3 linked regions of the Drosophila melanogaster genome follow. The gene in region 1 interacts genetically with each later gene. Each region holds a gene or a part of one and is shown in the gene's direction. Other genes may lie near its edges.

Evidence for each region. Genes that interact genetically often act in the same process or in processes that back each other up.
Region 2: of Sulf1 (region 1) and Hs6st, changing one suppresses a phenotype caused by changing the other (phenotypic suppression), as found in Drosophila melanogaster (one study listed by BioGRID).
Region 3: of Sulf1 (region 1) and Notum, changing one enhances a phenotype caused by changing the other (phenotypic enhancement), as found in Drosophila melanogaster (one study listed by BioGRID).

What each region holds. Positions count from the first base shown.
Region 1 is NT_033777.3:16,333,651-16,341,395, reverse strand, and holds the start of Sulf1 (sulfated), read left to right. Parts: upstream 1-1,820; 5' UTR 1,821-2,085; exon of another isoform or gene 2,086-2,453; intron 2,454-2,852; exon of another isoform or gene 2,853-3,551; intron 3,552-7,745. Other genes in the region: SF2 (splicing factor 2), read left to right, coding at 1-167, 450-574, 634-742.
Region 2 is NT_033777.3:20,003,480-20,011,089, reverse strand, and holds the start of Hs6st (heparan sulfate 6-O-sulfotransferase), read left to right. Parts: upstream 1-2,577; 5' UTR 2,578-2,929; intron 2,930-4,430; 5' UTR 4,431-4,669; coding exon 4,670-4,855; intron 4,856-7,610. Other genes in the region: MED25 (mediator complex subunit 25), read right to left, coding at 1-2,030.
Region 3 is NT_037436.4:16,021,017-16,028,512, forward strand, and holds the start of Notum (notum), read left to right. Parts: upstream 1-2,463; 5' UTR 2,464-2,828; coding exon 2,829-2,903; intron 2,904-7,496. UniProt on the Drosophila melanogaster protein: Carboxylesterase that acts as a key negative regulator of the Wnt signaling pathway by specifically mediating depalmitoleoylation of WNT proteins. Serine palmitoleoylation of WNT proteins is required for efficient binding to frizzled receptors.

The sequences.
Region 1 (7,745 bases):
CCGCCTCCGGATCGTGGCAAGATCTCAAGGATCACATGCGCGAGGCCGGCGACGTCTGCTTCGCGGACACTTACAAGGATGGTTCCGGCGTCGTTGAGTTCCTGCGCCACGAGGACATGAAGTACGCAATCAAAAAATTGGACGACTCTCGCTTCCGATCGCATGAGGTATGTAAATTGTCCAGTTCCAACTTTGTAAAATTCAAATGTATTCGGGTTTCAAGGTAGAGAATTTACTTTTGCATTTATTTTGTCAGCATACATTATTCACAGGCTGGAATAATTAAATATGATTTCAGGAATAACATTAAGTTATATTGGTGTAGATGCTTACACTTACGCCCTTAAATGTGTCAATTTGATAAACATCTAGTTCACATTCCTGTTTACATTTTGAAAAATAGTTTGGCGACATTATTCAAATGATATTAATATTTTTATTGTCTTTAGGGCGAGGTTGCCTACATTCGCGTACGCGAGGATAGCGGTGATAACGACAGAGGCGGTGGTGGTGGCGGCAGCGGTGGAGGTGGTGGCGGCAGCGGCGGAGGTGGAAGCCGTGACTACCGCGACAGGTAAACCAAATATTACCACAGTTCATTTTTCAATATTTATTCTATGAATCCCTCCACAGATCCCGTTCGCGCTCATTCTCGTCGAGGCCGCGCCGTCGTGGCACTCCCACATACTCCCCAGTGCGACGTCAATCTTATTCCAGGTCTCGCTCACGTTCTAACTATTAAACACAACCAAGCATTATCCATTAATCTATAATATTTTAATGAGCAGGAAACAGGAAAAGCAAGCTATATTAGGAAATACCAATCAATATTTGTTCAAGACCCCTCAAATACCCCAATTGTAAATTGATTTGTAAAATGAAATCAACGACCAATCAAGTTTGTTCAGTCAAGTTCCGAACTCTCACCGAAGCCAACATACTTAAAAAAGAAAAACACTTGCTTTTCCAACTTATCACACGTTCTAAGAAGCAGAAATGTTCTCTTAAGTTATAATCCACCGGGCAAAATTTGACAAAAACAGTTCTAAAATGACAACTGTAAACCAAGGAATTCTCTTTGGCCAAAAGCACTCGGCATTCCTTGATTTGCTTTTGATTATCTTTTGAGCCTTTGCTCAGTCTGCTTCCTACATATTATATTATAACTCTTATTTTGGCTGCACGTTTTCCAAGCTAATTTATTAGAATCTACCTTAACGAAAACAAGAAACATCGATACAGAATAAATATGTTTGTAATGAGATAAAGAAAAGAAACAGAAATCCGAACACAACGCAATGTCAACCACATTGATAAGCAAACTATTAATACTTTAATTTTTATTTTCTTCTCTTCCCCATTTTGCGCGTTTATGTTTGGAGAGTGATGAGGATGTGGAGGATGAGGATTAATGGATGTGGAGGAGGATATTTTGATGTTGATTTTGGCGTGGATTGGATAAATTTGGATTGAATTTAGTGGAGGCAGGACCTGTCTATAGATCTTATAAATATGAAAATATTTATTTGATTGTAATCAGGATTGGATTTGGATTTAGGATTGTTCTGAGCCCTTCGCTAGGACAACGTGGGATGCAGTGTCCCATGGCTAACTCGCACCTCGGAGGAGGAGGAGACAGGAATTTCGCATTGTTGAAGGATTTTATGTGTGAACTTTGGTCGTGTTCAGGTTAACGGATGTTTGGAGGAGGAGAATGTCGATGGCATCGTTGACGGTGAGGAACACTTGCGTTGCCCTTGGACAGGACTAAATCATACAGTTTCGGACTCGGCCGCATCTCTTCGAGCCTCGCCCCTTCTTCGGCATCTGCCTAACGGTCGGGATTAGGATTCGCTTGGACAGGCTCACACGCTTTGTTGTCGCCTTCTTTGGATCGCACTTCAGAAACTAGCTCACCCAGGGAACCGCGTATTTCGTGGCCTTCGCGCCCCTGTCGTTGTCATTTCACGGATTTGCTGTGCATCATCCAACGTTGACTTGCGCCCAACGCTGGATAGTGGATAGTGGTTCTTGGTCTGGTCCGATCCGATGCGTTCCGGTCTCCCTCTGTCTCGCCTCTCTGTGGTATGTTAGATTGCCACATCAAATTTAACTTTTAATTTGCGTTATTTAGTTTATAATTTATATACTCTTTACCCAAATCTTTCGTCTCCATTGATATTGTTGCCTCTGAAATGTGGCGATTGTCGCGTGTGCGTTTTGTTTTTCATTTTTTTTGAATAGAAGGGCGAAAATTCATAGGCCCCGACTATAGCCCACACCCGCATCATTTGCATGAACTTTCGTTAACCTAATAAAAAGTAATACCACAGCAATTTTGGAACAGAACAGTTCTCTCGTTCTCCTTGCTTATCGATCAACATATAAGCCATAGTTCTAACATATTTTTGAAATGAAATACACATTTACAATAAATATTCATAAAAATTAAGAAAAATGTCATGCTTTTAATACAACATTATAAGATGGGTGCAATCAAATACTTTTAGCAATTTATCTTGCTGAGATTATGAGCTTAAAATTAGACTGCTAGACTCGTGTAGCAGGTATTTGTGTTTATGGGATGTTCCTGTACTTATGAAGATTACAAATTAAGTTTGCTTGTATTATCTGCAGGAAAGACTTCTGTTCTGGATTTCACAACCTTTGCATTCCGAATCAATTTTAAACTTCCCGCTTATGGATTTTTACAGAGGACTGTTATTAGGGCAATGATGACCGTATTGTTTTAACGCAAAATACCAGATTTCTCTGTGCGAAAAACGATTTTTGGTCACTTTGCAGCACGGCCACACTGGCAAACAAACTATATAAGCAACACGCGCATTTTGTTGTTGGGTTTTTCAAAAAATATTCACCAGCTGTTCGGACGCGCGTGGGAACTGCTCTGTGTTTGTTGTTTTTTATAATTTCGAACGGAACGAACTGGTCGCATACGGATTTTAATTTATATTTACGTACTAAGCTAACGCGCGCTGTAAAATAAAAGTAGCGTAGAATTTCTAAACCAACCATCTGACACGAGAAAAGTGCGCCAAAAGTTCGGAAAACCCGTAGAAACCCTGTTGAAAGTACGAATTGCATGTCAAAATTGCTAACCCACGTAATAATGAATAACAAATAATTCGGAAAGTGCAATTTCGTGGGCAGTCTTTCGACAGCTGAAGGAGAAGATATCGGCCCAGATAGCCGGCCCTTCGTTTATGAATTGTGTTTTGTGGCGGTGTATCCAGCTTATCTCCGCCTTGTTCGGCTCCAGTTTTATTGAACTCTACCGGATCGGACGGTACTACCCATCTGGGGATAGTCAGTGGGACTGAGGAAGCTATTAATCGATCGCGATTGTACAACCAATTACCGGGTTTATCACCTAATTCGAAGCCGCTCGGCACGACGCGAACTATAAATAGAAGCTGAAGTGTCCAAATAATCGGTAGACAGCGCTCATGATCACAATCGCAATAGTGTGTTAAAACTACAACTACTGGAAGTTTAAACAGATATATATATATATTTAGATATAGCCTGAGGTAAGAAGTGCATTTTATGGATGTTTTGCATGCCCACGGAACTGCTGAGATCATTAAAGTTGGCTATTGAAAGCGCAGCATCAGCGAATTCCCCCTAGGAGTCATTGTTCTCGCTTGAAACTTAAAAGGTTTTTTTATTGATCATAACTTGAAATTAGTTTTACGGGGGGAAGATCGACTGATCCAAGCAAATCATGCGATACTAGTCGTTTGTGGTCCTCATCAGGCATCCCAACTTGTTTGGTCTTTGTTCTACCGACTGTTCAACAGCACTTCCTCAATATTCCTGAGTGAAAGTAAGGCTTGGCTTCGATCGTTTGACATTGGTAATGTGACCCACTTAGGAGTAGGGTGCTTCTTTGGTAACTCGATCTGTCAAGCCAGAGGTGTTGCCTTGTGGCTACCTACTACCTAACTAACTGCTTGCAATACAACCTGCGTAGGGTCTTCAAGGTCTCCTCCCCGTCGGTTTCCTGTTCATCTAAGCAACCACTGTGAGAAAACTTGAGCTGTCTGTAGGAACACCTAGCATCAATATACAATTATGTGTGTAAAATAAGCATCCATATTCAGCAGCAATTTTTAGAATCCAGTTTAATTGTATTATGAGTATACATTGTATCTAGGGTTCCATACATTTCTTGCTAGTTATTTGTAGCAGTGCATATGTGTGCAGGCAGCTCGTTTGAATCCCTTGTGCGTCTCTAATCGGAGACCTGCCCATATGACCGGGCTCTGCTCTTTGTCCTCCCCGGCGTGTTAATCTTTTGTTGTGATGAGATGCTTATCACACCTACCGCCGCCTTGCGACAGGTGCATTCTGAAGTTTCCGCTGGAGCGAACCGCAACTGGAAACTGGCAACTGGCAACTGGCAGCCGTGGAAATGGGAAACCCTTTTCGCTCGACCATTCAAGTGCCGCTGTTCGTTTGACCGAATGATTGACGGGCGGCAACTGTGACCCCTTAACCCCTTGTTGCCGGCACTCAATGGGCCGCATCGCGTAAGCAATTTATGTTAATTGTTGTTTGCCTGTTGTGCCTTGCCTTTTGGACCGGGTCCATTCACTAATCGCTTGGAGGAAATTTAATTTAATGCGTATAACGAAACCACCCTTAAAATTTACCGATTGCTGACTAATTGTGGGAATTTTTAAATAATACCAGATACCCAATAGCAAGACAACTTTTTGCCTTAACTGGCAATTCGAAGTAAAACAAAAGATTTGTTTGCTAGATGATATGATTAAGTCGCAACATCAACAGATAAGATAATTTTTTGTTTATATAGAAGAAATAATATCTCTGCAATTCTGCAAAAAATGGTGTCCCATAGTTTCAGGGAATTCATTTCGAAAGCTTGAAAAATGCGCTACAAGCTTAAAAAATTTAAATTTAATAGTATGTCTTAAGGGTATTTCAGTTTCGTACAGATTTGTTTGCATTGAAGTACCTTGTATTTTCCAAAGCCAGTCTGGACAAGCATTTAATTAGACACTTTTTACTTTTCCCAGCATAAGACACCAACTTTTATCCGCCGCGGCAACAAGTTGAAGACACGAGTCTGGCCCGTCTGTCTAATTGTTTTGACTGTGGCAATTTCTCCTGGTCTTTTTAGAGTTGCAGTCCGAGCTGGAGTGTGGCGGCCAGGAACTGGTTTGCCCGCTCCACGCAATCCCAGAGCTTTAATTCGGTCAATTCAGCGGGAGCGGCATAAGGCGGCTAAGGCTCATGATGATGATGATGACGATGACTAACGCTGGCCCCAAGGCACCGACCAGGCAACGAGAACGATCCAATTTGGCCTTTTACCGCAATCAGGTTTGGGATTCGGTTTTAGTTTTCGGTTTTGGTCCGCTCGATACGATACGTCAACGGGCCGACCGAATGGATGAATGAATGAATGCCCAGCTGAATGAGCGATTGGTGGCTGAATTATTCAGCTGGCCGGCAATCCATCATGCTGTCCTCGGAACTGGTTGACCAACACCACTTAATGAGTGGAAAAGGCGTCTCCGACATTTCCCATTTGCATCCCCATTCCCCGACGATTCATGCGATTCCCCATCCCCATCCCCACGCAGAGTCATTAGCCAGCCGCAAACTATGCCTATATGGGCTGATACCCCGTCAAACATGGCTCGCATTAAATACAGCCATAAAATCGGCCGGGAGGCGTGTACCATGGGGCACGCGTTTGGGGCGCCGTTTAATTGCGGTGCGCGATTTGCAAGCGTTTTTAAACGCCTCAATTTGCATTTGCATACTCACTGTCTTCGCTCTATGAATGGAAAATTGAACGCCCAATGGAGCAGTTGGTTATGCATGTCACTATAATAGTGAGGCAAGTGCAAATTAACACATGCACTGGGGCATCAATTTCAATTATTCTTTGTCCCTCTGAAAACTGATAAGGACAATGGGTGACGAGCTCGCACTATCTTGGGTTAATTGAGTAGTGAATTAAGTTTTATTGAAAAGTTTTAGAAACTATTAGAGATAGGAAGCTGGACGGACGCAGGTCGGCGGTGGGACATTCAAATAGGGCATGCTTAATATTAGTTTTTTCGGCTAGACCATATGTCTAAGAAATTAAATCCTATGTACTTCTTAAATCGTATATTTTTCATCAAAATAACTAAATTCAAAGCCATAGCATAGTAAATTGTATTTATTTTTAGCTTTGCTCTGCTAGACGCACCATTAACTTATCGTGCACCATCGGTTTGTAGTCCTATTTTACGACTTAGCCGCATGTCTGGCCGCAAGGCGCGTTTAAAAACGCCAGTGAAAAGCCAGCAAATCGCGTCAAACATTAAAAACATTACCCTGAACCGAGAGGGTTGGCCCTGGTAATTGTAAGCGGCTATTAAAATAATTTAACGCGCCTCCGTTTGCTGGCTAAAGGCCGCAAGGACGGGGCAGTAAGCATTACCCAGCCAGCCCGAAGGGATTAACATAATTTTTGCTAATATTGTGAGCGTGGCTCGCAGCACATAATGCGCTTAGAAATATGAAATGAATAAAGACTGCATTAACCTGAATGGTGGCAACGGCAGCAGGAGCAGCTTCAGCAGCTGCAGGAAGGATTGCGGCCACGGATTGTGGAGTGGTGCACGCAGGCTGAGCTGAGCCCAAAACTTAAGGGTGACGAGGAGGTAGGCGGCGGAAAAAGGAGCATGATCCATGATGAGCTGTGCGGCAGGAATGCGCCAAAAGGCAGCGACGCCGACTGCATTAAAGTGGAAAATCCTGTCTGACAACATTTAAACCGAAAAGAAATATATATGTACACAAACCTATAGTAAATATGTGCAAAATAAAGCCAACAACAAAAAACCACAAACAACACATAATAAGCGTGAAAAAAGGCAAAATGAGAGCAAAACCAACCCAGTGCAATTCCCAGACTTGGTTCCACTCCGGGCCAGAAAGGATAAAGTGGGCAATGAATAGGCAGTGTGGCTAGAAGAGCAAACCACCAACAAACAAAGGAAAGAAAACAAAACGAGAAAATTGTCTTCAACTGCTAGACGGAATGAAATGATACCCTAGAAAAAGTAAACAATTTAAAATTTTTTATCGTTTTCAAGATAGAAAATCCACCGCAAAAGATCACATTCACACATAGTGAACATTCTGAAATAGTAGTGATGCAGATCAATATTTACACTGTCTATCATTGTTGTAGTTTCAAAACAAACGTAAAACCAAATACTTTTTAAACATGTATCCAAAGTAACAATAATAATGCCGTTGTCATGCTTTATCTATACTCAAAGAATTTAGATTAGCCTACAATTCATAAATGTTCAAAGAGAACTGAAACATCATGCGATTATGATTAACCAATTGCTGAAAATATTTCGGACACCTGATCCACAGGCCCACTCAGCTCTAAAAGCATTCCGATTTGCACATTTTCGCGATTTCGTTTCCAAAGAAGGACGGCGCTAAGAACCGCATTTATAACATCAATAAAAGTTCGTGTTTGTTTACGTGGAAAACAAATTAATAATGGAAAATCACATGTGGTTTTTCACAAACCAAACACAAAAATCGAATAACTCACCCACTCGCACATGTACATATACGAAGAAAAGCAATTAAAATCGCGAAAAAAAACAATAAATTTGTGCGATTTTGGTTTGGCAAATCGCCCTTCGCCCAAAAATCTAAATATGAAGTTAAAAATG
Region 2 (7,610 bases), 3.7 Mb from region 1:
TGCTGTTGCATGTTGCCGTGCTGCTTTTGCTGTATGACTTTGCGCAGACGTTCCACAAACATTGCCTGATTATTGGGAATGAAGCCCAGAAAAGCGTTGCGATCGGGCGTGTAGAGTAGGATGAGAACCTTAAGGTCACAGGCTGGTGAGTTGGGGATGGAGGAGAAGTGGACGCAGCCAGCATAGCCGGAGGTCATCATCTTGGCCAGCGAATCGAGTGCCTCTCCTGGAGTGGGTCGAAAAACAACCATTTTCGAGTCCTTGAGAAACTGCCCACCAATATTGCCAACTAGGTGCTTGGGCATTAGCTGCATCAACAGCTTGGGCGGCCAGTTCTCAGCCTTGATCTCGGGCTCGCCATCTTTGATGTTGGTGCACACGGTACACTGGAGTGTATGGGGAATCTTCTGTTGATCGGACTTTGGCTTCTCTGACCACTCCAGCACTCCGGTCCATATCTTTTCCCTCAAGGAGGCCTGCTCCTGCTGCGAATTTCCCTGCTGTTGCTGCTGCGGATTGCCCTGCTGCTGCGGATTCGACTGTTGTCCTACTTGTTGTTGCTGCTGCTGCGGATTAGACATGTTGCCGGCATTGCTAGCCGGCATCATATTGTTTCCTGCATTGGGATTTACCTGCTGCTGTTGCTGTCCTTGCTGCTGCTGTTGCTGTTGCTGGGCCAGTTGCTGTTGCTGCTGCAACTGCTGGTGATTTAGCATCTGCTGCTGGCTCAGCATCTGCATCCTTTGTTGCTGCTGCTGTTGGGCCTGTTGTTGCTGCTGCTGCTGCTGCTGCGCCTGCTGCTGTTGCTGCTGCTGCAGCGAGGTCACAGTTTGGTTCGGCGGCGGCGCATTAATGCGCGATATCAGAGCAGAATTTGGATTCTGTTGCATGCCGCCGCCTTGGCCCACACCGCCCACATTGCCTGCTCCCTGCATGAAGGGCGGACGCGCCTGACCAGGCTGGTTGGGATACATCCAGCGGTTTTGGCCGGGTCCCACGTTTTGCTGGAAGTTCTGATTCTGCATTTGATTGGAAACGAATTGATTCTGCTGCTGCTGCTGCAATAGTTGCTGCTGCTGCTGTGGATTGAGTAAGCCCGCTGGGGGATTTGGACCGGGCTGCTGTTGCTGCATCGTGTTCATGTTCATGACCTGCTGCTGAGGATTGCCTTGTTGTTGCTGTTGCTGCTGCTGTTGTTGTTGCTGTTGCTGCTGCTGGGCTGGAGTGGTGTCCATGGGCATGCCCTGCCCTTGTTGTTGCTGACCAGCTTGATTTTGTTGCTGTTGTTGTTGCTGCTGCACTGTAGCCTGTGCCGCATTGGGTGCAGCCATTTGGGCCGCCATGCTGTTGGGACTAGGTGCTCTCTCCTTGAGGCTGTATCCCTTTAGAAGCACTAGGTGTCTTATGTTCTTGGCATAGTTTTTGCTCGTAATGGGCTGATCTCCGTCGGCCTTCATGAAAAGTTTGAACAACACCGGCATCTTGCGTGGCGCAATAATGGAGAGATTGATTTTGCGCTCGTTGAAGAGCGCCGCCAGCTGCTCACATGATTTGCCCGGATACTTCCACGACTCCGTTGTGGGCATCTGGTACGGCGGACTGTTGCAGATGAGAATGCAGTGCCTCTGGACGCTGGTCTGATCGAGCAACTGGCGCCTTTCGCTGATGTCATCAAAACAGCCGTGGGCCGCAGCAAATCCTTCGGCCATGTGGGCACAGGACTCCATTCCGCCTCCCACTAGTGGCAATCTTTCGATCGTCTCCATCACTTTTTGGGGCTGCAGAAAGGGACCATAGGTTGAACAAACTGGCTCCAGCAGATTGGCCGCTGTACGGTAGACCACAATACCGTACAGAGTGGCAAAGCGCTCCGCAATCAGGTATTCCCGCTCGTCGATGGAGCCAGTGGTGAAGTGCTCCAAAGTCGGCAGGATGTAGTTGGTCTTTAGTTCGTTGATGTAGGCTCCGTTGATGGCGCTGCCCTCGATGACGAAGACCACGTCGGCCAGGGGAATCTGGTCCACCTCCATTGGACGATGGGAGTTGGCTTTAAGTTGAAAAACTTGTTGCAAAAAATGTAAACTATGTTGTCTGCTTTACACCGCTCTTTTACTTTTTTCGTTTGTTTTGCATATCGCTCTGCTGCTATCGATAGTCAACTTATGGTTATCGCTCAGCGATTGCTAGGGCTGCAAAATAAATGAATATTCAAAAGTGCCCATAAAGTTGGATTTAAGAATATGCAGATTGCCTTGAAAACTTGTTTCTATTGAATTCTTTTTCTATTTTCACAAATAAAAAAACGTTTGGTGTTTATCTAATTAACTTAAAATTGAATATTGCATACAAAAGATAACTATAAATAAGATATTACGATGTTTTATGTTAGGTATCATAATTATAGTTGTTTTATGTATGTATTTTCAATGGAACTATAAAGTTAATTCTTTAAATATTCGTTACCAATAGTTTATATCGATGGTTGCAAGTGCTGCCAGACTCTCGCAGCGAGTTTCCGTTCGGCAGTCTGGCAGCGCGGTCAGCTGTTCCTATTGCCCAACTTGCGCAGTTCGTTTTGTTCAGTTCATTCGCCGATTTTGAAGAATGCGGACGTTGACGCTGGTACCGCGTCGTTTTGCCAAAATAATTCGTAAAAAATATACGCAAAACGCTTAGAAAGTGTCAATTAACTAAACATTAGCTATTGAGCAGTGCAAGTGCAGGAAAAACGATCGCAGAAATAGCCGAAAACACATGAAAGTGCGAATTGCGGGCTTTTTTGTGGCTGGCACAGAATGTGTGGCACAAAGCGGAAAGCGCGCTAATTGAGCGTGCGAGCGCCTGAAACGCAGAGAAATGTAAATAAATAAACGTGTGACGCCGCGACAATTGTGAAAAGTGCACAAACACGACGTTTGGCAAGTGAAAAGTGAGTGAAATCTAGATAAATTTCATTAAATTGCCCATTTCGCATCTGGCAAGAAGAACAGCTGTTGTTTGGCATCTCGCTCTGTCTGGTTGTCCTCTCTCTTATTTTGCCCTCTCTCTGTTTTTGTTGCTCCCCTTTGCTTCTGTTTTTTTTTACTGCAATGTTGCTAAATCGTTTGATTCTATTATTATAATTATACTCCTTGCCCTGACGTCACTGCCTCGAAAAACCTGATAATTTGGGTAGGCAATTAGCATGGTTTAAGTATAGTTTAGAGTACAGAGAAGTGAATTAAACGGCCATGTGTGCACAGCATGCATGCTTTTTTGTTATTGTTGCCTGGCAACATGTTTCGCCACATCTGCCTTTTTTTTCTTGTCTCTCTGTTAGTCCAATTTGCCAATAAGCAACTTTTCCATTTGTTTACAATAATTGTGATCGCTACAGAAGCACCGATCGTGAAGTAAAAAGCGCCTACATAAATATAAGGCACCAGTTATGCTTGGGCGTCACTCCGACTGCCGATCGCCAGTTATTTTAGTTGGGTGTTTGTACATTTAAATACCCTACCTAAATGCAACTTACTCGCATGTAGTCAATATCATTCAAACCCTAATATGTTACGCATTTTCCAATCGGGTTTATCACATATAAACAATATCGAAGCCAGATAAAGCGACTTGTGATAATAATCACCCATACAACAAAGGCTGTTCATTCATTATATTTACCATATTATTGATAACTATTTTTATAACTGAACTACAATATGTTCTTATAAATAAAGAATCACTAGATAATTTAAATATTAAATGAAATAAGTACAAACTATTTTTTAACTATAATAAGTTATTATTTGAGTAATTGCACGTATTATCATGTACGGATGTAGGTTTTTTGCTTTAAATAATAAACGTATTTAAACGTATTTTTAATTGATTAAGGGTATACTAAATGCATTGCTTTCGGCTCCGCCATTCACTTTCCACTATTGCGTCATTATTGGTTGATTTATGTATTTTATCGTTACGCTATACATTTGCAGATCGCATTCGCGCGTGGAAATTTAATTTAAGATTTCCCACACAAATAAAGATAAATTTGTTATTGCACAAACGTTTGTTATTCACGCCCGTCTTGAATACTTACTAATAGATTTGCAATTAAAATAGGGTCAGATTAAACGATAAATCAACTTCACCGCCTGCTTATCAGTTTTTGACCCTAACAAAAAAATAGAAAGTCCAATTAACTATGTATGTACGTTTTAATTGTGAACTTCTTATCAGTCTGCCATAGATTTAGGTTCTTAAAAACTATTTTTGATTTTCCCCTGAAGAGCTTTCAGCTACTAAGTAAGTGGCTAGATAAGGGCTAGACAATTTGACAGACCGCTTTATCGGCATGGTCAAGTGGTAACTAATCGGAAACGGTGTTGCTTTTGTAGTGCTCCCAAAACTAATAGGTTTCTAACCGTTTTTCACTCTTACTCCATTTGCAGGCACTGAAAGCCGAGAGACAAGGAAAACCCATTTCCGCGCCAAGTGCAATGGGCGAAGGTGTTCCCATTTTTCGAGTTCTTATCGGGCAGCGACTGAAGTATGATTGAGTTGGCCTCGCCTCCGATTCGCGTCTGGTTCTCGTTGCGCTAGGCCGATACGGATACCCGCTTGGACTCCACTCGGGTGGACCCTTGTTGGACCTTTAGTGCGATTTTCGAGGGAGGCCAGGGAATGGAACATGCCCGGGGATATGCATAAGAACGTATCTGTTCAAGTCGATAGTGATTTTGCCTTATTGCTGCCCAGTGGTGTTTATGAAATCAAGAAAATGGAACCGCGCTCCAAAATCCGAACAATCATTGTGTTTTGCCTCTTCCTGGCCATCGCCGGCATCATCGGATTTGGATACTTTTGTCAAGATCAGGTAAGTGCCAAATCCCCTCATTAATTCCCATTGCTTATAATTTATAATTTTCTGTTACTTGGCTCCAATGCAAATTAGCACACCAATTGGCGAAATGCTGAATTTATTCATTAATATTTGCCGTACATGTGTGCTTTTATTGGAATTACCATTCATACATTTTTGGATCGCACGAAACTTGTTTTGCTATGGCGCATTAATAAATTTATTATTTAAAATATTCGTATAAAAATATGCGTTGGAGTGTTTTTCCCTTCGGCGCTAAAGACAGCTTTTATAATATAGAACTCTTTCTCGATGTTTATCAATTTTTTGGGAGCTTTAATTAGACAAAACAAAATGTTTTGTTTACAGCCTTTCGGTTGGCGCCTTTAAAACTCGGAAATTGTTTACGCAAACGCAAAGGTGCTAATGAAATTCCTCCAAAAATGGAAAATGTGTAACATAATAAGATTTCGCTTGCAGGCGATTGTGCTTCTGTGTTATTATTCATAAATCTTTGACACGCGTGCCCCGTATTGAAATTAGTCTAATCTGTAGCATAAAGTTTACAAACAACTATGGATTTCTGGTTGGTATATTTGGGTCACTACTCATAATATCGCCCATAAATCTTCGGCGTGGTTGATTGAAATTTGTCTTATCTGTTGGACTAATAAGGCTTCCCCCCGCGCATCTAATGAATGATTTAATGGCCGAGGTGTAAAGTGCATTCGTGGGCCATAAAAACCGAACCGAGGCAAAACAGCACATAAAATTCTACCCTGGGGACACATAAACCCGCACCAGTCGCTATTCCTTCAATTTTTGCTGCCTCGCGGTGTTCATATACTTGCGTACTTTGGATATATTTAACTATTAATCCAGCTCGTGCCAGTCACGTCTAAAAAAAGCCACGATGAAATTGTTTGAAGAAGGTCATCAATTGCCAATTGCAGGCGAAACAAAAATTTAATATATGTACATACATAAATACATACGCCTCGATGAGTTCTATCATATGTGTGGCTGTTGAAAAATGTTTCAATTTCGTTCTGGCGGTCTTTAATTAAACAAGAAACAAATTCGTTGATGCTCCAAGAACCGAAAAAGAAGTCAAGTGGGCGTGACTTTTAGCAAGAGTTCAATGTCAAATGGCTGTGTTTATGATACAGATATATGTATATAAATGTTTATTCTATATATTTTCGTGCTTTTCGCTTTTTGCTATCGGCGGGTCTGTCTGCAGTGAGCATTAAACTATTTTCCAAATTGAAATAGCTAGCCAAAATGACATTAATTGAGCGCAGCTGCCTCGCCCTCTGGTTTTCCCTGTTTTCCGCACGCGATCTGGCCAGACATAGTGACGAGCAGGGCGTGGCCACGCCCCCTGCCGATGCGTACGTTGGAAAATTCGCCGTCTTTAAAAATAGCTTAATTAGTTGTACGCGCCATAAACGAAAAATATGCTTAGTGCTTGTATTAGTGTGGCGAAAGGCAAACATGAAAATTGGGCTCATGAGGTTGCGTGTCCAATGGAAAACAGACAGATTATTCTATTATTTGGGATGCGAGGGCGGCCCATTTCGGTGATTCTTTCAGATTTGTAACCTTAATGGGCCAAGTTGAATATAAATTACTCGGTCGCAATGGGAGTACTTTGTTCCCGGAATACTTTAACTCTTGCTACTTGGCCTGATAAATTACAAGCTATTTTTAATTGTCCTTCTTTGCTGAACTTAAGTAGCAGTAACAGTCCTCTTTCAGATCATTAAGCCAGTAATGTTACATTACTTGCGAGGAAAAAATGATTTAATAATATGACAGGCAGATAATAAAAAATATAAATTGCTACTGTTCGATAAACTGAATCGCATTTAATTTGGTATTGAAAGGAAAACAGAATTGATTGCTTTGGCGGGTTTGTTTTCAAACAGCTCCGTTTTTTCGGTATATACAATAGGTGCATTTTACTATATTAAATCTAAAAAAATTATTGTTTATGAGTTCTTAAAACAAAGTAAAAAGGTTTTAACTTAATAGCAAAAAATGTAATTGAAGTCTATTTATTAAAACTGCTAAAAGAAACAATCATTGACAGGTTAATAAGTACTTGAATAGTTACATTGCTTTGTTTCTGACACATTTTTAAATTTCAGCTTTAATTTACAGCCTGTGGCATACAATATTGGTCAGTAAAAGAGGAAACTTTATTTGACAGTTATCTTCGCAGTGTTTGTTCCATTTCTAAAGTAGCCACAAATGTGTAAACACTATCTGCCAGTTGAACATAAACAACATCGTTGACTCTTGCTCGGAATATTTAATGCTCTGCCTCGTTGAAATGCTATATTTTTTTCTAATTTGGTTTTATTTATTTCAATTTATGCAAATTTTAAATCACTGAATATTTATTCAGTCTTGATAAAAAGCCATTAATTAAATACCGCGTTCAAGTTGTTTGAGTATGTTTGAGTTTTAAATAAATTGCGGCTGGAGAATTTCGTGATTGCTGTGACGTCCGATCTGCAATTGTTTACGCACATTTCAAATAAGGTCCAAAGTTCAATTACAGGTGGTGTGTATTTGTTTATGCACTTCACTTGGACTCTTTGCTTTATCTGATTGAATAAACAAAAGGCGATGTTTATTATTTCGATACGCTTGCATATTCAGTTTTCATAATTGCTGCAGTGGTTGTCTGGATTTTGGTGCAATTCACAAAGCGCAGCTAATGAAATGAAAACTATTTATGACTTTTTCTGTTTTGTTTGGC
Region 3 (7,496 bases), on another chromosome or scaffold:
CAGCGTTGGTAGCGATGTAGCAGCTTTAACTACGCAGTGCCTGTCGCTTCCTCGCCGTCCTCTTTCTCGTCATCGTCATCGTCATCATCCTCATCATCATCATCATCATCATCATCATCATCACCGTCATCATCTTCCGCTGGGGCATCGCATCAGCTGGCGCTGCTGCTTGTTGCTTGCTGCTTGCTATTTGCTGCATGCGGCAGAAGATGAAACGCGGCGGCACAACTTTGATGCGGCCAAGATCAAAGCCGCCGATTGTTTACATAATAGTGGCCTTTGAAACGGAACAATAGAATGCCAGGATCAAAGACACCGACCAGTTTACCCGGTTAGTGCGCTTAAGCGAAATGAATGTCCATGTCCGTCCGCCCGTGATCTGTTTTTCCTGGCCCCACACCGCAAGAAAATGTATGCTTTTTGGGATCAATAAAAACCATTTGAGTATGCTTTATCAAATCAACAAATACTAACTATCTAGTTTTTCAGTGAGTACTTGTTTTTAACCAAGTCAGCTAAAATGTTTAGTTAATTCATTTTGGACAAAGGTTTTGTTGCAGTGTAGTAAAAGTAGCACACCTTGCTGGGGTTGGAAACATCACCGCTTTGCGTGCTGCGGTAAAGTAAAGTTTTTAGGTGAACAACGAAAATAATACAAATTGTTTTTGACACTTATCAGAATATGTATATAAACTTTGTGACTTTCGTTTATAAGAAACCATTATATTGTATTCCATAATAAGTAATTACATTAATTTATTTTTTATATTTTATATGTTTTCTTATACTGTTTTATGAATTTGATTGGAGGTCAATCTAAAGTATCATTTAGAATAAAAAGGCACCTTTCGAATCTAAAAATAGCTGGTAATAAACAAATCATTAAAATTTGAATGCTAAACTTTAATAAAACAATATATTAACATTAAAATATTTTGATTATGCCACAATATTTTACGGTGCAGTAAAAGTAGCACTCATCACAGCCAGATGATCATCCCGATGGCAAAATCGTCATGGAGTGTCTTTGAATTTGTGCTGCTGTAATTGCTGCTGTTGCTGTTGCAGCAGCCGAAGGAGTTGCAACTGCAACTGCAACTGCTGCTGCTGCTGCTGATTGCGCGTCAAATGTTTATGGCATTCATCGCGTGCTGGCGGCGTTTTAATTGCTGGAACGGCACAAGCGCCAAGTCGATGGTAGATGGTAGATGGCCACGCTGCGTATGAGCAATGCGAGCATCAATAATCTCCTGAGATGCTGCCGCCGCCGTTGTCGCATAATAATTGCGTGTACTTAATGCATAAATATTGCACTGAATCGGACTGGTCGACCGGGCCGGCTCCTTTCTATTTCCCACTTTTATGTTTGCCGCCGCCGTCGCCGCCAGTTGGACATCATTTTTTCAGGCGCTGTTTTGTTTTTCTCATTTTTCCATTTCTTTTTTTTTTTTTTGTTTTTGCTCTGCTTGCCTTCTTCCTTTAGGCCTACAATTTCTATTGAAGCAGCGCTTCGGCGGCGGCGAACAGCTAAAATCAATTTGGTCAGTGATAAAATTTTTCGCAAAAGCGAATCAATTTTATGCTTGTGACGGGGTGTCGTTGAGGCGGGGGTAAATCGTAAAAAGTATTTCGATTTCGGGGCCAAATACGGCAAAAATCAAAAGACCCAAAAAAAGAGAAGAATTTTTAATGATCTCTTATTAATTGAGTTTGCTTTATAGAAGAAGAAGAGTGTGGCAAGGGTCTGCTGCGGGAACGGGGAATTCGCCTTTAGATTTACAATTAGATAAAAGTCGCTGGCTACTTTATTGAGATTTTATGTCTTTAAGCCGCATCCAAGCTGCCGAATGTCCAGGGCCATATCAAAATTGCTCCGTTTCCACGAAATGCCGACAGCCATAAAACACCAAATGACCCAGCCAAAAAAAAAAAAATAATATAAAAAATAAAGGGAAAACAATAAAAGCATATATATGCGATGAGCGAATTATGAGAGTTTGCATTATAATTGCAATTACACTAAATTAGCATTAACCGAGCAAAACGAAAAAAAAAGGCGCAGTCAAAAAACAAAAGACTTAGGCAACGAACTCGAGCGAGAAGACCAGAAGCGCGTTGCGTTTCATTTCGGCATTCGATTAAGCAGATCAAAGGGAACCTTAATACGCTTATTAACAAGTAGCTGCTGCTGTTGCTGCCACTGCCACCGCCTCAGTTGGCGTCGCAGTTGCAGCGCTGCCCGCGATTCTCTCAAATTGCATTGCCCTGCAGTTTATTATTAGTTTTGTTATTATTTTGCGTATTCTAAACAAAAACGCAGTACCGCTGCGAAGCGAGAAGGCGAGAGCACGTGAGAGAGAGAGAGAGCAACGACGTCGACCGCAGCAGCGAAGGCGACAGCAGCAGCGGCGGTAGCAGAGCAGCAACAGCAACTTCGGCACTTCCACAGCGCAAGGTAAAAATTTCATTCCGTGGCGAGCATTCGACGTGAGCGGACGTTTTGAGCGCGTGTGCCGTGCCGCAGATAACGAAACATCGCAGTGCTATCACCAGAATTGAAAACAGAATCGCATCAAATACATTATACTTCACAGTTGAATGACGAGAAATCAGAAAAAAATATTCCCCCGCCCTTCTAAAGAAATCAAAATCACAAGTTTATAAGTGCCAAAACAAAAATCAATACCGATCGCATACAATGCAGCGCCCCAAAAAGTGCTCAAAACTGTGCTGAACAAATATTATACAAAAAAATAATAAATAAGCAAAACAAACAACAGAAAATCTATATTTAATCTATTCTATATCTATGTGTAATCGAATCGAAAATGGCAGTCGAACAAATTGATAAAATGGCAGCTAAAGCCGGAGAAGCTACAAATAAATGGATTAAGCCACAGCAGGTGAGTTATCAAAAGCGAACGCCGCAATACGGTAGCCCCACAAATGAAATATGAAGCTGCTGCGAAATATTATCAAAAAATAAATAAATAAAAATGAATATAATCGAAAGAGGGAAAGGGGATATCAAAAGTTGCCGCTTAAGCTGAAACCCCAAAAAATACAGTAGCACGTCAATTAAAATTAATAGCTTCCGACTTATGCCGCTGGCCAGGTTGTGAGAACTCGGTTGAGAAAACACCAAAAACTGAAAACCCTCTACAGCTTTATTTACGACATTTGCATAGTCGGGTCGAAATCAATTTGAAAATCCTTTGCAAGGGCATAAAAAACGAGATTAAATTTGCCTGCGTGCGCAAAAAGCCACAGAAAAGGCGGAAAACAAAAACAGCAAAGAAAAATAAGTTGCAGATTGGTGATGTGAAGGGGGGGGGGGGTGTAAGGGGGGAGGGTTCCGATGCGGATGAGAAGAAAACAAAAAGGCCGACAGAAATGAGCGGGGAATGGGTCTTTAAGTGTAGCTAACCAAAAACCCTCATCAGCAGCAGCAACAACAAAGTGCAGGCCGCCTTCGTGCGCCCCACTTCGCTTCAAGCTCGAGATCCACACATCCCCGGATCCCCACATCCCCATAGCCATGCCACAGCCACATCTACTCCACTCCTCGGCCGTAGTAGCTACTGTTTTCAAAGTTAAGATCAATGAGTGCGACGACGATGCCTTGGGTTTTTGTAGTTGGCCCGAAGTGCACGGCAAACAATTTTATTGGTTATTTAAAACTAGAGTGAATATCTTGCTGATCATTTCCTCAAGCTTTGTAAGTTAAGATGAAAATGACTGATTATATAAATGTTCAAAACAGACTGCTAAACGTTTTAGATAAAATCAGCCAGCTGAATATATCTAAATGCTGTGTTAATTGATTATAGTTACGTTGACTATTGGCTAGTACAACTGCTAATCGAACATTGATTTTGTTTCTATTCAGTTCGTTTACATTTGATCCTTTATTAACTGACCGCTCTTCAACGGAAACTATGAAAATCATATTACTGTTTAAGATCCCCAAAAAAATTTCTCTCGGTGCCCTGCTGGCCAGCTTCGATCTGCTTTGCAACATGCCGCAAACATACACGAGTCCATGGGCGGCAAAGTACAAAGCCGAAAACGGCACGGGTTTAGCGCGCTCGGAGTAAAAAGCGATCAGCGGGCAGCAGCGGTAAAGGCGACCGCTTGGCAGACGTGCGCACATCCACAGATACAGATACTCAGATACAGATACAAATACAGATGCAGATACTCAGATCAGGCCGGTCTAATAACGCTGCTGTTGGCACTGGCTACACGTTTCGGCGGCTTCGCTTTTGTTGTTGCCGCTCCACTACCGCTTCATACCCATACCCATACCCATATACCCCTTCGGATTCCCATTCCCATTCCCATTCCCGCTTGCCTGCGGCTTCATTTGAGGCTGCTTCCGAATTACCTGCGCCTTTGCCATGCCAGCAATGCAGTAGCAACGGCAGCGGCAACAACAGCAGCCACTGCGTTATTTCCCTGCCATAAAAAGTATTAAATTGCCGCAAACAGGTGTATTTTTATGCCCGCCAGGCAGAGGAAAACAACTGAAACCATAAGGGGCGGAGCGTTCAGCGTTTCGGGAACTGCAATTATGAGCGCCTAGGCCCGTGGCTTTACGTATTCTAAGCATTGCATTACAAAAAAAAAACAAAAGAAAAACGCAATTCAGGTCACAACCGCTGAACAAATCAATCATTTACAGCTGCCCAGGATTAGGCAGGTAAAAGTGGGAAAGTTAGCAAATTACCATGGAAAATTAGCGCGCAAAGTTGTGCAGTGCGAAAAACCATAAAGATGACTAAGGTCCAGCTAAAAAAGTTGAATCTTAATTTTATTTTAATTTTAAAATATTAATTTAAGCGAAACAGTACAAAATATTTGTTTTTTTTTAAAACATATTTTACTGACAATATTATATTATATAATCATTGTTGTTTGGTAAATTTGAAAAGGGTCCTTTATGACAAAGACTACCTTGAAATCGGTTTAATAAATATTGCTATTGTTCTCTGTGTTCCCAATACGATCGCTTACATTTCGGCGATATTTTTTTAAAACTTTTTTATTTTATTTATTAAGAGCGCGCTCTCTTTCGTAACGATTCTGGTTACGCGCGCAAACTGAAGGCAATTGAAAGCCGGCAAACAACAGAGAGACCGGGACAGAGACAGCGATATGGGTGGAGTGAAAGAGATGGGGAAACGCAAATCAAACAAACTGGCAGCAGGAACCACAACAACAACAATAATAACAATAACAAGAACAAGAACAACAAGTGCCATGAGAACGGCAACGGAAGTTTATTTATGCCCCAGACCGCTGTTTGTTTAAGCGTATTGCGATAAGCTGCGAGTGACTGAAAAAGCGCTCGTCCGTTTGTAGTTGTTGTTATAGCGTATGGTATTGTTGTTGTTGCTGCTGCAAGTGCGCCAAGAATAACAACAACAATAGCAGCGAAGTGGAGCTGCCCCTACTTTTCCGATCACAGCGACGACGGCCTCCCTTTGATTTGGACAAGGTCGTTATGGATTGTGCTTAGATAATTCAAGGTACAGGCAAGCCTCGCTAAGTCAAACAACTAGCAGAAATTGTGAAAAAAACAATTTATTTTTTGTATGTATGTTAGAATTTTTTTAAACAATTTTTCTTTATAAATATAACTAATTTTAAGGCATATTGTTTTAAAATTAGGATCTTAGCTTTGTTATATTTGTATATAAAAGATTGTAATAGTCGGGTATAATCAATGGACAAATTACAATTGAAATATCAGAATAATTGGCATAAGCCATTGCAAATATGCCCTTAATCTATTTTAGATCAAATCAACTTTCACGAATTGGCATAACTCGCAATCCCTAAGCTAATGCAAATGGCAATTCGATTAAAAACACTTAAAAGGGGCGCACATTCGCAGTCAATTGCCACCGCAATCGAATCAAATCAATTCCAGTCACAACGGGGCGTATACTCGATTTTGTTTAATAAATGAAAAAAAGTGGAAATGAAAAGAAATATAAACTGTGCATATAAAGAACGCTTAGCGCCATCGCGTCGCAAACGCGACCGAGTATTTGCAGCAATTAATAAAAACTGACAATATAATCGGTGCGACAAGTAGTTGGCTGCCAGCCAGCCCCCAGACATTCGATTCGAATCGAATCGCATGGAATCGCTCCTTTGTCAGCTTCGCCAGTCGGCGAGGAACGGAGGGAGGGGGGGTGTGAGTTAAAAAAAAAGGTGGAAAAAAGAAGAAAATAAGGCAAAATATTAATAAGCAGTGCCCGCAATTAATAGCGCAACTTAAGACTCTATATAGGGTAATTAAGCGGCGCTTGTGAACATTTTTCCTTTGGCCACGCCGCCTCTGTTTTTGTTTTCTGTTCGTCGGCGCTGCCGTTTTCTTTCGTTTTTTTATTATTATTTACCTCTCCCCCCCCCACGACAGGTAAACAACAAGTGCAACGTACGCTCACCCGTATCTCTAGGTGTATCTGTATCTGTATCTGTTTCTTTGCCGGTGTTTACTCAAACGTAAATCCGCGCACGCACACGTGAAATCTTTTTGTTTGTATTTATTTTACTTGTTTTTTTGTTTTATTTTTTTTTGGTTGGTTGGTGGTTCATTGTGGCCGCAGTTGGCGCAGTTGAACTAATCAACAATGGAAACTACTCATCTGGTGCTGAGGAGCGAGCTCTTGTCAATTTCGTTGTTTGGCGGCAAACATCAGACGACGAGCGGCTAAGACGACCCGAAAAATATCCAAACCTGTTGTAAGCGTAGTGCAGAGTGGAAAAATCTCAAGGGGATGGGGTGAGAACTAGAAGAATGGGGCAAGTTAGGTTTGAAAAAGCTGGGAATGGAGATACTTCTTAAATAGTATACTTATGTTAAAACATTACAAATGCTATCTTATTTGTTAACTTATAATTCTGCATGGAAATAATTGATTTAAATTTATATTTTCAACGTAACAAAATTGATGGCATTCATAAATTAAGCTTGTGCACATCTTAATCGAAATTTATAATGAATACTGTCAAATAAAATCAATTCACCATTATTAAAACGTTATCGACTAGGGTATTTGTCAATGATTTTGTTAAACCTAATTTATCTGAATTCCTGCATTTTGCATAATTCATTTGTATTGAGGAGGGGAACCAGATTGTTGGGTTTATAAATACATAAGTGGCAAAACCACCGATATCGCCGCAGATATATATATGGATATATTTTAATGACGGCTAGCCGGCTACCGTTAGGACCACTTTGCATTCGAATTGAGTTGGCCCAAACGAAATTATACTTTGTAGGCCTTTGGCCAATATAATTGCTAGAGTTTTTGTTGCTGTTGCTGTTGTTGTTTCGTTTCGTGTTTGTGTCATTTGCATTTTGCTGTCTGCAAATTGTCGTGGCTGGCTGCAACGAATCGACAGGAATCGGCGGACTTCAAAGGCCTGTATAAACATTGATTGAAGATTTCTTTACGATTTCTGAATGGTTATTTATG